Lytechinus pictus: one gene and its partner. The protein of the gene in region 1 interacts with the protein of each later gene in a biochemical or structural test. Links are inferred from orthologs where the notes say so. Each region holds a gene or a part of one and is shown in the gene's direction. Other genes may lie near its edges.

Evidence for each region.
Region 2: the proteins of unconventional myosin-VI-like (region 1) and tax1-binding protein 1 homolog form a complex in vitro, tested with the Homo sapiens proteins (5 studies listed by BioGRID, with this or other methods). The link is inferred for Lytechinus pictus from reciprocal best matches to the Homo sapiens genes MYO6 and TAX1BP1.

Annotation. Positions count from the first base shown.
Region 1 is NC_087248.1:24,456,589-24,463,526, reverse strand, and holds the start of unconventional myosin-VI-like, read left to right. Parts: upstream 1-3,865; 5' UTR 3,866-4,134; intron 4,135-6,938. UniProt on the Homo sapiens protein: Myosins are actin-based motor molecules with ATPase activity. Unconventional myosins serve in intracellular movements. Myosin 6 is a reverse-direction motor protein that moves towards the minus-end of actin filaments.
Region 2 is NC_087247.1:54,054,269-54,061,274, reverse strand, and holds the start of tax1-binding protein 1 homolog, read left to right. Parts: upstream 1-3,961; 5' UTR 3,962-4,124; intron 4,125-7,006.

The DNA of each region.
Region 1 (6,938 bases):
AAAAACTTTGTTATTTGTTATCCGATTTTGATGAAATTTTCGGCATTTTGTTCAGTAAATTCTACTCTATGTATTAAGATATAGATATTTTCAGCCCGGACCATCCCTTTAACAGTAAGTTACATCTGATAGCTGGATAGACTCAATATTTTCAGTGAAATACCTTGGGAATTCACCAGCGAACCCCGGGGGGGCCACTTACATTGACGAGTGGATACCATGCGCGACCAAAAAAACACGTAAAAAGGATGTCTTTTTCACGATAGGGCACGTTACGTACGTAACGTGATAAGGGTGTCAAAAACACAAAAATAATGAAAAAATGGTATCTATTTCGCTAGGAAAATTACGTGTTTAGGGTCGAATTTGCGGGGATGATAAAACAAAATTAAAATGTTTTATAAAGGATGTCCTTTTTGCCCCAACACTTCGTGTTTAGAGTCCGATTCGCACGAGGCGTAGAAGGTGGGGTCGTACTAAACCAAATAAGGTAAAGCCGACGACCGAAAGACCCGTAACAATAAAACATTCCTGTACTTGTTTAGGGGTTCATTTCAGTGAATATTTGCCAAGGGTATCGTTTTGTTTCCAATACTTGATAAGGGTAGGGTTTCACACGCCAATACTTGTTAAGGGGTGAATTTTCAGAATATGGAAATTATGTGTTTAGGGTGCTTTTCGAGACCCCATGGTCGCGCATGGTATCCACTCGTGAATGGACGTGCCCCCCCCCCCGGGCAGCGAACTCAACATCAATTAAGGGAATGATGTGGAAGCGGAACAGCTGAATCAGTCTTGCGATGCATAATTTTGTTTCCAATAGGGTCCTGAATAGAAAAGCACATTTTGTAGAAATGTATACCAAAAAGCACATAAAAATCGAAACATTACAATAAATCTCATTAAAATGGCAAAAATAATCAAATGGATAAAAAGAATATGCATATTCATGAAGTAGAAGAGAGAGAGAAAGAAGAGAAGATGTCAATGAGGAGGAGTGGAAAGGGAAGAAGGAGAAATGAAAAAGAAAAGGAACTTAATTCGGAGGAGGGGAAGGGGGTAAGAAAGATAAAAGACAAAATAAAAAGAAGTAGAATAAATAAACTAAGAGAGGGGAGAATAAAGAATTTCAAAAATAAAAGAAAAAGAAATAAAAGGAAAATATGGAGAAGGGAATAATAAAATAAGAAGAAGAGGAAGGAGGAGGAGAAGAAGAGGGCTGAAAGTATAAGATCAATTAGGAGGAGGAAAAGAAGAAAATTTAGAAAAAGAAGATGAAGGAAAATATCAAGGAGGGGAAGAAGAAAATAAACAGATAGTACCTAACTTGTTAGAGTAGCTATATAAGTAATCTTAAAATGTGCAAAATTTCTTATTGCTTTAATGTGATAGGGAAAGAGTTCCAGTATTTTATCGCATCATTACACACTGATAACAGTTCTTAAAAATCCTTTTTCATATCAGGATATAACCTCAGCTCATGCTTCGCGTTCCCATTACATGAGACAGGATGGGGGCCGGGGCAGTCCTCCTACGCATACATTCGTAATTCCGAAACTTCGTTATTCCGAAGGTTCGGATATTCCAAAGGTTCGTTATTCCGAAGGTTCGTATTTCCGAAGGTTCGTAATTCCGAAGGTTCGTTAGTCCAAAAACGAAATGAGGTTCGTAATTCCGAAGGTTCGTTAGTCCGAAAAAGAAATGAGGTTCGTAATTCCGAAGGTTCGTTAATCCGAAAAAGAAATGAGGTTCGTAATTCCGAAGGTTCGTAAGTCCGAAAACTAAATGATTAACTAACCATATTTCGTTTTCGGACTAACGAACCTTCGGAACAACGAACCTTATTTCGTTTTCGGATTAACGAACCTTCGGAATAACGAATCTTCGGAATAACGCCACAAATGTTCGGATTAACGAACCGGCTTTTACGTTTTCGGATTAACGAACATCGAGGTATAGGTAATTTGCGTGTTTCGGAATTACGAACCTTCGGAATAAAGAACCTTCGGAATTACGAACCTTCGGAATTACGAAGTGTAACCAGTGCGTCTTCCTATATGAACTTTACAAGTTTGTTAAAAGAGTTAAAACACGCAGCTAGTATATTTAACATATTAACAAAGAGCCATGCTTAAAAGACAAGACAGTACACGCAAACAAGAAGTTGGTTTCAATAAAAAGAGAAAATCCAACAAGCTAAACACAAAATCGGATGTAAAAATAAGAAAGTTACGATTTTTTTTAGATCATAATTTCACAAAACGATTGTTATGCACATCTTTGCCGGAATGCAATTAAGGGCGCTGATGACGTCATCATCTCGCTATTTATTTTACATTTTATACGCTATGATTTTTTTTCCTCATTGTCGAGTGAAACAAAGTTTTATTCTTCCAACACGTGTGGGCCTATACCATTATGGATCAGTATACTTGGTCATTAATGTAGGCCTATACATAATTCAAACATTTAAAAAAACAGTAGGCCTATTAGTGATTGACATCATCGACTCTTTCAGATCATTTGCATGTCACTGGGTTGTGCATAAATAACTGTTTTGTGAAGAATAAGCAAAATCAAAATTTCATAACTTTCTTATTTTACATCTGATTTTGATTAATTGTTTAGCGTTATGCATGTGTCATTTTTCTCTAAAGCTGAATCAAATCCACTTCTGCGGGTGGATTTAATTGACCTTTGATTCTATAGTGAACATTAAATCCTGATATTTATAGCACCAAAGTCAAACTATATAAGTTGTTGAAGATCGTGTGGAGTGGAGGGTGGAGGGGGCATGCAGGCCGGTAGGTAGTTGCTTTCCATGTCGACATAATAAGGTTGAAGAATGATAATGTTGAAGAATGAAATAATAATGAAGAATGTTGAAGAATGTTGAAGAAATAATGAATAATATTGAAGAATGAAAAATAAATTGAAAGGTTATTATGTCGACATGGCAAGATCTCGCCAAGTTGATGGCACTTTAAAGGCTCCCTAGTTTCGCTTGATTTCACAAAACAGTTAGGCCTATATAACCTATGCACATAAGGTTGGTATGCAAATGAGGAGAGTGATAGTCATCCACTCACTAGTTCTTTTATATTTCATCATATGAAAATTGAAATATGAAATATTCTAATTTTCTCCAATTGTCAAGTGAAACAGTGACTATTTTCTCCCTGAACATGTGTGGAGTTAGCATTGTTTAATACTATATAATTCGGTCGGCCGTCCCTGTGGTCAAATCTGTATAAAAAAATGAAATATTGTATAGTTCAAATAATAAAACACAAAAGAAATAGTGAGTGGAAGACATCATCGACTGACTCATTTTCATGTCACTGAGCTGTACGTATCACTGTTTTTTCATAAATAAGCGAAACTTTGAACAGCCATAACTTTCTTATTTCATCCGATTTTGATGAAATTTTCAGTGTTTTGCTAGTTTGATTCTTCTCTATTTATTCAAATCAACATTTTGCTGGGATCGATGGACTTGACCTTTAATAGAACAACTGTAAAGTCCATAATATGGTATTAACGTCATTGTATACAATTTTTAAACAGCCCTGCTTTGCTTGTCTCTATTTGGCGTTGTCTTGCATGAATAAGGAACGACCACGCCCATTAATATGATGCCGTCCAAACACCCCGGTCAAAAAACATGTGGACCTACGCAATCCATCACGGAAAAGAAAGATATGTAGGTATTTCACTTTCATGATGATAAAAACAAACACATTAATTAAAGTTTGGGTCATGAATTTCAGGATATAGACAGGCATGGATCATCATGATGTGAATAATAGGTTGAATTATGACTGTATAGGGGTAAATTAAATGGCCCTATATGCATTGCACTTGCCTTTTGAGTTTTTGGACGAAGCGAAAATGACGTCATCGTATTGGTATACCGGAACTCCCTTAGCAAGTTCTTTTCTTCGTCAGCTGTGTAGTACTGGGCTATGCTAACATGCGTGTGTACTACTAGCTGTCTATGGTAAATTACTAAAACTACATTGTCATCGTTGTCACGTTGATTCAGAGGACAAGTTCACAAGTTATTTCTTCCAATAAGAAAGGGACAATATTGTTGCAGTCCTGACACCTTAACAAACTCAATGTTTTTTGCAGGTAGGTAAATCGGGGCGGGTAAATAGTCCAGTCTGACTCAGTCTGACCACTTCGTGTGGCGCTGTAACTGTTAGTACCGGTATAGGCTATATCGGAACAACAGGTGGTGGCTCAAATGCACCACTAACAACGTTAATCATCTATAAGATCGAATGGGGTGTTGCAAGAAACTTGCGGTCAAGCAGTTAATTGCAAATTAGTGATTGATTGCTAATCTGCTCCTTGAAACACGAAATCTAATCTTATTTGTTATAACTGATCTATAATTGCAACAGAATATTGCGATCATGGCGATCGATAGCAAATATTTTCTTGCAACACCCCCTTCTAACAGTAGAGGCGCACGGCCAATAGGGGAGACAATCTCCCACATTGGAGACTTGCTTTGCAAAAGGACAAAAGAAACAACACCAACAAAAGCATGATGTTTCCACCCAAAATTTTGTCTCACTGAGGTCAGAAGCCCATTTGTTTTGTGTGTGATTGACAACAAAAATCCTTATCAAAACAAAAGTAGACGGTGAATTTTTAAAGTAGACAGTGAAAAGGGGCAATTTTTCATGAGGAATCTGCTTATCACATTTTTATTTGCCGCCAAGGTACCGGTAATCCTTTTTCAGCAAATGTAAACAAAGGAAATTGGACTCCAAAACTGGAGACTCTCTGAAATTGGATACCCAAATTCTTTACAAAAGTCTCTGATATTGGAGATAATCTCCCACATTGGAGACAGTCTCCAATATTGGCCGTGCGCCTCTACTGTCTAATAACGTTAATAATAGGCCTACTCTTTCAGTCATTGAACAAGGGTACCCTGTTGGTGTTCATCCTGGTTACTACTACTAGTACTACGTTCTGGTTGGCAATGTGTGGCCCATTTTTACTTACTTACTTGGATTTCCTTGGATGTAGAGATGTAACTAAAGGAAAGCTTGTAGTTGTACTTGTAGTAGCTTATTTGCCCCTCGTCACGTTGGATAGTCTCTGGTAGGGTAAAAACAATTAGTGGATGGTTTTTCCAGTGCCTCTCAATAGCTGATTTGAACATATTGACACTTAATGCAGAAACTGCTTCCTCTGGTAAAGCATTCCAGTTATTTTTACTCCTAATTGAAAATGCATTTTGCCATTTTTGCAATTTGCATCTGTTTTCCTTGATTTCATGCTGTGTGACTGTGACCTCTGGTTCTGCTATGAACATCAATTTCAAAGAAGTTGTTTAGGTCAATTTGATCAAGTCCTTTTGAAATTTTGTATATTTGGATCAGTTCAGCTCTTTGTCTTCTATGTGATAGAGTAGGTAGATTTAAAGCCTTCAGCATTCCAGGATAGTCTAGATGACGGAGATGAGGCAATTAAAATTTAGTCTGGTTACTCTCTGTTGTACTTTTTCAAGTAGATCTTCATCTCGTTTATATACAGGAGCCCATGCAGAGTTGCAATATTCCAGAGTAGGAATTTTTTTCTTGTCCCTATGCCTGTGGATATATATGCCTGATTTTTTTTGTACACTGTCAGTGTCCTGTTTACATGTACTTATACTGTGTTAGATCTAACGTTAACTCACTCATTCAATGAACAAAGTTATGATATATATTAAGCCTGAGTCGAATCGATTTTAACATCGGTGTTCGATCGATGTCATCGAACACCGGTGCAGATTTTGCAAAATCGGTGCATCGAAGAAAAAAAAATACGTCGGCCGGCCGCGGATTCGTGTGTTTCACACAATCAGTCATCAAAATATCAGTAATGTCCAACTTGATTACTACTTACTTGATTTCTATTGCCCCCAAAATGAAACCGATTGTGTAATTTATGATGCCTAGTATTCACCATTAATTTGAAGTTTATTTCGATCATAGTTCGAGTCTTACTCGTCTGCTCGTGCCGAGATAATTTATGCACGGTGAATTCATGAATGGCAGTCATGGCCATCGATTGTGCATGCGCAGTACTGTTCTTTAATCAAACCAGAAAATGGCCGGAAATTGACGCAATCAACGTAAAATAAATCTTGCTTTCATGAACAATATTAATATCATGACCACAGAACATTATTTAATCGTAATATTTAACAATAATTTGCATATGATAATCATTAATATGAATTCAGAGCTTGATGTGAAACGTTCAAGTATTTCTTTCAATTTTCAATGGCGGACATCTCATGACGATCGACTTGAGTCGAGTGAGTGCACTTGTCTAAAAAAAAGAATTATCAGGTCAGGATTGATTCTCGAACATTGTCTACATGCAAAAACTCTTTTCAAAATCGTAAAATCACCATATAATAACATTTTACATGACAAAACAGAGAAAATTGCGTTTGATATTTTTTCCCATCAATTTGAAGCTAGTTTGTGCCCAACTTTTGGCTCTGATTTCATGAATGGAAAATATGTCACACGTCATCAAATAAACACGCATGCGCATTGTGCTTCTTTTCTCGGAGCTCGGAGGAGACGTCGGGGAGGCGTCCAGAGATGGAATAACAATTGAAATATTGCCAGTATTAATTCTTCCATATGAACATAACATACTTTGCTGACATCGTCAATATTCTTAGTATGATCATAAAATCTTGTTAAATCGTAATAATTTATATGAATTTAGGGCTCGATTCGAAACATTCGTATTTATTTTGATCGCACGCTCAATTGTGTCCAAAAAAAAATGGGTTGTCAGTATCACGATTAATTCTCGAACATCGTCAGAACTCATATTCCACAATCTTTCCTCACAATCGTCATATCAGCATTGAATAGCAATTCAAATGACCATCCAGAGAAAATTACGTATTT
Region 2 (7,006 bases), on another chromosome or scaffold:
GTGGGCAGTGCTCGCTCAAGCATGAATAGTTTTCCAACTTTTTGGTGTCACTTGAAAGTTGACTTTATTGGCTTTCCATATCTATAAGTTATTTCCCCCAAAGTGTTATATTTTTTATTTGGCAGCCATTTCAAAAGTGTATAGTTTTTTGGGGGGACGCACTGTATATATGCCCTAAGCCACTAATCTTTCATAAATTGATGAAAAATATAGTTCTTATATGTATAATATAATATAATATAAAATAATATAATATAATATAATGTAATATAAAATAATATAATATAATATGATGTAATATAAAATAATATAATATAATATAACATAATATAATATAATATAATATAACATATATGTTATAAGATACAATGATTTCTTCTTCCCCACTGCGTTTCTCTTTCTTTCTCCTTTTTTTCCCTTTCCCCGTTTTTTTTTTTTTTTTGCTTTTTTTTTTGCCAGCCGATGGGGGGGGGGGGGCACGTGCCCCCCATGCCCCCCCCCCCGTAATTACGCCACTGTCTATATCTGTCAATAAATTATTATCTCTTGCCCTCCTATCAAGTTCTTTATACTAAGTTACAGTTTCTTTAATTATTTATTCCCCCTCCCCGTGGGTCAGGTGCCGTGGGTCCAGTCATATAATTGCTGTGCACATGTGTGACCAAAAGAAACGTGTTTAAAGGGGGTGTTTTTTCAGTTTTGGACGCGGCCACGCGTGTACTCGTTTTAAGGGTATCAAAAACACCGATTTTCAAGACAAGGGGTGGTTTTGAAAGACTGGTCAATATTATTGTCATTCGCGCATAATGGTTAGTTCAAGGAGATATCACTCTAACTATCTCCTTGGTTAGTTTCGGTCCTGTTCGCTCGTATAGCAGACGATGCTAGGCCTGCTAGTTTATACTATACGTACGCAGACCCTTTTGCAAATCAAAATCAATTCTGGACTAGATAATAATAAATATTTGCTTTCCCAAACTGTAGTTATATTATAATCAGTAGGCAAAACTTTATAGTACAAAATTAATTTGAGTTGGACTGTATTAATTGTTTCAAATCGAAAGGGTCTCTACAACGCAAAATGCCATGTTGTGTCTGCTCGATCTCAAAGTTCTGAGAAAAACGAAATGTAACCATATGATGATTATACCAATCACAAAGTATTATATACCAACATGTAGGTAATCTATCTAGCATTGAGATGACAATAAATTTCGACTTTTTTATCCTTATAATTTAGGGACATTTCAGTGGAAAAACAAAGGTGCCAGTGTCTCGAAACTATGGGTGGTTTCGGACCGTTTGTCATATAACAAGAGTTGTGAAAATGGACAATTCCAAATGAATAGCGAGACGTTAAATGGTGAATTAATAATTGTAATAATATTTACATGAAATTGATGGAAGTAAATGAAATTTTCATAATCAATATCAATTTGGTGTGATTATGGCCCGGATTTTTGAAATATTACTCTCGTGAAAACGACTGTTCCCTGATATGAAGCTTTGTGTGTGGACTCGGACTTTCGGACACTCAAATGCAGGCGACTAACCATGGGGGCCAAACATATTTAGGGTATAATATGTTTTTTTCCAAAGCTTTTTTTTAAAGACTAACCAAACGTGTTTAGAGTATGTTTTCCCCGGGGTCATAGGCCTATTCTGGCGACAACTTTTATGGGCCAAAAAAAAAACTCGTTTAGGGGGTGTTTAGAAATAATTTGGTCACTCATCACGGTGTACATTAATATTTTTAATGCGCCCCCGGGCCTCTAGCTATATAGCTCTCTCTCTTCCCTTATTTCTCCCTCCCTTTTCCTTCTTTCTTCTCAAAGGCTCGCTCTGGTCCCTTAATTATTTTCTTTCACATCTCCATTTCCCTAAGCTTCTCCTTTTCACTATCAATTTAATCTCCCTTTAGTGTGGAGGGGAGGGCGGATGGGACGAAGACCCATTCACCCCCCCCCACACTCCCATCTTCACACTAGATCGACCCTCGCAACTGATTCTTGGAACAACTCAACAACAATAACTGATAACACAGAGACAAAAGTTTTCGGTCTAGGATTTTTTATTTGTATTTTGTGTGCATGATATTTTGGCTGCAGGACAGATGATCCCCTTATCATTTTTTTTTCAACGGTGCACTTGCACGAACATCGTGAGAACTTCGCACGAATACTCGATCGGGACTCGATGGGGGTGTCGTCAGTAGCGTAGCTACGGGGGGGGGGGGCTTGGGGGCACGTACCCCCCTGATATTTGGTGTGCCCCCAGGTGCCCCCCTGAAAAAAATTGGCGGAGCCAAAAAAAAGGAGAAAGAAGAAAAGAAAAAAAAAAAAGAAGGAGAAAGACAGAAAGACAGAAAGAAAAAAGAAGAGGAAAATAAGAGGAGGAAGACGAGTGAATAAAATAATGTGAGGGGAAGACTTGCAAAAAAAAAACCAAATCTTTCATGTTACTATACAAAAATTTGGCTTGCGATTCGCGCCATATATGGAGCTTAAAATATCAAGTTTTGAAGCCTTAACAACTTCCACGCTGTCAATACACATATTAGATTAACAAATAAGAAAAAAACATTTTCATGAATTCCTAATAACTAACTTGGGTCTTTTCAGAACGGAATATCGACAAGCTTAGGAATACTAGGAAGATATTCATAATTTTCATATGATGACAAAATGTCCTTAGAATGTACCAGTCCTTTGTTGAAATAATAACAAAATACTCAGATCAAATGTTTTCAGCTTGTGCTTGCATTATTGATCTTCATGATTAAACAAATGTAATCAGAATGCCCAGATTCTAGGTCTAAATCTAATACATGCGCGATAGCCTGCATGTTCTTTATTTAAAATGTGCTTAAATTATCCAGTTTCAGATCAGAATATCAATAATTGTCCGCTCACGCTTCATGATCACATTATTAATGATACCCAATTAACCATGTATTCATGATTTACATAATATTAATAGAGTGTCCCGCGCTTTTAGATCTAAAATCTCAATTTTCTCCCTCTCGCGCTTCGCGCTCGCATCAATTGTTTAGTTACATACCTATCCCATTTATGATTACAAAAGGTGCTTAGAATGACCATTTATGAGGTCGCCTTTGTCAATTTTTTTAGCTCGCGCTACGTGCTCCCATTGTTGAAATATATACCGTCTTCGCGCTATAGGCCTACTGTAAACAGTCATAACAGGTCCCTTTTCGATCATGCTAGAACAGTTCGCGCTTGGCGTTCGCAGTAATTATCTAGTTACATACGCATCTTGTTCAGGTTCACAAATTACATTGCCCAGAACTAAATTTTCAGGACAAAATACATGAAAGTTTAACAAAAAATTACTCGCGCTTCGCGCTCGCACTTTTTATAAAGGGCTTATGAGATTATTTCATATTTATGTTGGTTTTATAAAAATAATTAAAGCTAAGAAGTGACTGATCGGGGAAAATATAGGTGAAGATAATTTTGGGCCCGTCCCCTATTGGCGAAAGTCGGATCCGCCCTAGACACATACGGTACACACACACGTACACACAAACAGAAAAAATGTTGCCCCCCCCCCCCCGGAAAAAAATCCTAGCTACGCCACTGGGTGTCGTCAACGAGAGATTCGGAGGAAAAAGTTCTCCGAATTTGTATTTTGCAATAATACTTTCGACATTTGCATCTTGGACCTACAATGTTCGCATAGACCCATGCATGAACCAGCTCTATGCATGCAAGCTGTTGAGTGTTGGAATTCCCCATTTCAGTATGACATCTAGTCTATAAACAGGAAAGTTTATGAAAAATTATAGATCTAAAGATAAATCAGCTTACTTAGGCAAATTGTAATTGTGATTCAATCAATACTATAAAAAAAGGCTTTAAATTTGACGACGAAGAAATTAGTGGAATTATTTCATAATTTACGATTGACTTATTTATTTGTGTCTTTTTTTTCCTAATAGACTTGATAAAGACTATAGGTCAACCCAGAGGGCATGTTTCGTCATATGTTATTTTCACAACAAAAGTGTTGAGCAGATATACAGATCGGTCAGAAGCGTCGAACATCTACGGAAATTAGTACGATATTGCACGAAGTAGGAAATGCAGACGTGGATTAAAAAAGTAAGCCGTTTTGTATTTTGTGAGTTCATTTGATTTGGTGAGGTTGAGGCCTGACAATGACGGTCTGAATGAGCTCAGAGTCAGAGTCAGACCTGAATTGTCAGAGTCAGACTCTGACTCTGTAATATTCCCGTTTGGTGGTTGTTCCGCTGAATTGAACTGCGTTGGCTCCACTCGACTCACAAATAAATAGTGAGCTTGGAAGATGGAGGCCCGTACTATTTAGCAGTATCCAGTAACGTTAGACATGTTAGTTCTAACATTCGGCGGAAATCCGATTTTAGGATTTTTTTTTTTTACTTTTTAGTAACATAGACCTAGGGCCTACCGGTAACATTTCAGAAATTGTTAAATAAATCCCTAGAAACGATGGTTATTCCTGTTTAAATTGAGAGTAGGGAGTTCGACTTCGATGACTTTTTGAAATCTTGAAGAATCCCAACAAATTTGATATCATTGGAAAGCTTGTGAAATAAGAAAAATAACGGTGCTTCATTTAACTCATTGTCTGATAGTGATATATTGACGGAGATATTCCAATTTACAGGGGAAAATATGCAGATTTTGTTCTGTCAAAAAAAATATTAAACTAGCTTTTTTGAGTGGGGGAGACAGTTGCTTTTTGAAATCTTGAAGGAATCCCAACAAATTTGGTACCATTGGAAAGCTTGTGAAATAAGAAAAAGAATGGTACATAAATCAACTCATGATGTCAAATATTGACAGAGATATTTCTGTTTAAACTAGCCAGGCGGCTTCTAGAGAGAAAAATCATTTACTAACGTAAGGTTACTCTCATACGAAGCCAGGGAGTCCTCCTTATTCATCTGCGTGTACCGCAAAAAACCCTGAAACTTTCGCCCCCGAGATTTCTACTTTCCTTCTAAAAGATCTAGCTCTAAATCATGTACATGGGATAAAACTTCATTTCCGACATTTCTACACTCTCGTTGTTATTTTTAAACAAGAATTCATCAAAAAAAATGAAAAAATATTGTGAAAAGACGGAAGAGACTTGCCCGATGTTTACGCCGCCATCTTGTTTCTTATTGTACTTCCCCAACATTACGCGACGCTCGCGTCCGTGCTCAGACCCTTGAACAAAATATGCAAATCAACTAACAGGCAATGCAAGCGCGAAGATTTTATACATGTATCTGTCTGTTTGTCCGTCCGTCCGTTAACTTTTCCTTGTAAACGCGATAACTTCAGTTTCACTTATTCTAGGTTCATATAATTTTGTGTGTATGATACTAGCATGGATCCCAGGAAGCCTATTGATTTTGAGGTCAAAAGGTCAAGGTCACAGTGACATATTTTCATCCAACCCTTCTGCATTCCTTGTAAACACAATAACTTCAGTCTAACTTAACCTAGGCTCATATAATTTAGTGTGTATGATGCTAGCATGAATCCCAGGAAGCCTATTGATTTTAAGGTAAAAAGGTCAAGGTCACACTGACATGTTTTCATCTTACCCTGCTGCAGTCCTTGTAAATGTGATAACTTCAGTTTAACTTAACCTAGGCTCATATAATTTTATGTGTATGATACTAGCATGGATCCCAGGAAGCCTATTGATTTTGAGGTCAAAAGGTCAAGGTCACACTGACATATTTTCATCTTGCCCTTCTGAAGTCCTTGTAAATGCGATAACTTGAGATTAACGTAACCTAGGCTCATATAATTTTGTGTGTATGATACTAGCATGGATCCCAGGAAGCCTATTGATTTTGAGGTCAAAAGGTCAAGGTCACACTGACATATTTTCATCTTGCCCTTCTGAAGTCCTTGTAAATTGCGATAACTTGAGATTAACGTAACCTAGGCTCATATAATTTTGTTTGTATGGTATTCGAGCATCGATCCCAGGAAGCCTATTGATTTTGAGGTCAAAAGGTCAAGATCACAGTGACATGTTTTCATCTTACCCTTTTGAAGTCCTTGTTACCGCGATAACTTTAGTTGAACTTAACCTAGGCTCATATAATTTAGTGTGTATGATACTAGCAATTCTATTGATTCTGAGGTCAGGAGGTCAAAGGTGAAGTCACCATCTTCCACTCTTCTTGCTTGACCAATACATGTAGCTCCATTTTCTGCATAACAGACGGGCGTATTATGTGCTCGCCTTAGCGACACTCTTGTTAGTGCATGAAATACAAATTTGGGTTTGAATCTATAAATAAAGCCCTTGAACTGCTTATTTTTTATTCTAAGGAATTCTGATCAAATGCATATAAAATTTAAAAAAAGTCAGTATAAAATGGTTTTTATGTTTTTTTTATATTATGTACAGTTTTTTTTTTTTAATGGAAATTATTGGCAATAATTTTCCATTCATTATCAAAAAGTACAAATAAAGATACAGATTCATATTGGCTTTATACATGAAATCACGTTTTTCAGCAAATCGGGGTCTGACATGCACTTGTTTAATATCATAACCGCGTACCCATGCATACACCCCTTTATGGCGTGGCCCTGTCATATTTATGGACTTATCATAGAAATTTTTAAGGGGGCCGTTAAGGTCCCCTGGGATCGTTTTACTACTTTTCTTCATCTTTGAGAGGTCCAAAGTTTCACCTGCTTTTGTGTGTACCTCAAGAGTACGATGTCAGTTCTAGATATTTGTAAAATATTAATAATTATTATGCTTACAAGTGCAACACTTCCATTTCATTCAAGTGCTACTATTACATGTAGGCCTACGTATATTTGAGCTTATTTTAATCAGTGTTTCTTTCTTTCCCTGTCCAAAAGTGAGCATAACACTCAGACACGTTTGTTAAAATGGGAATATTCTTAATATGGATTGATGTGCACAATTGAACAGGGAGGAAAGGAACATGACAAAGAGATGGAGAAAGGGAGAATCA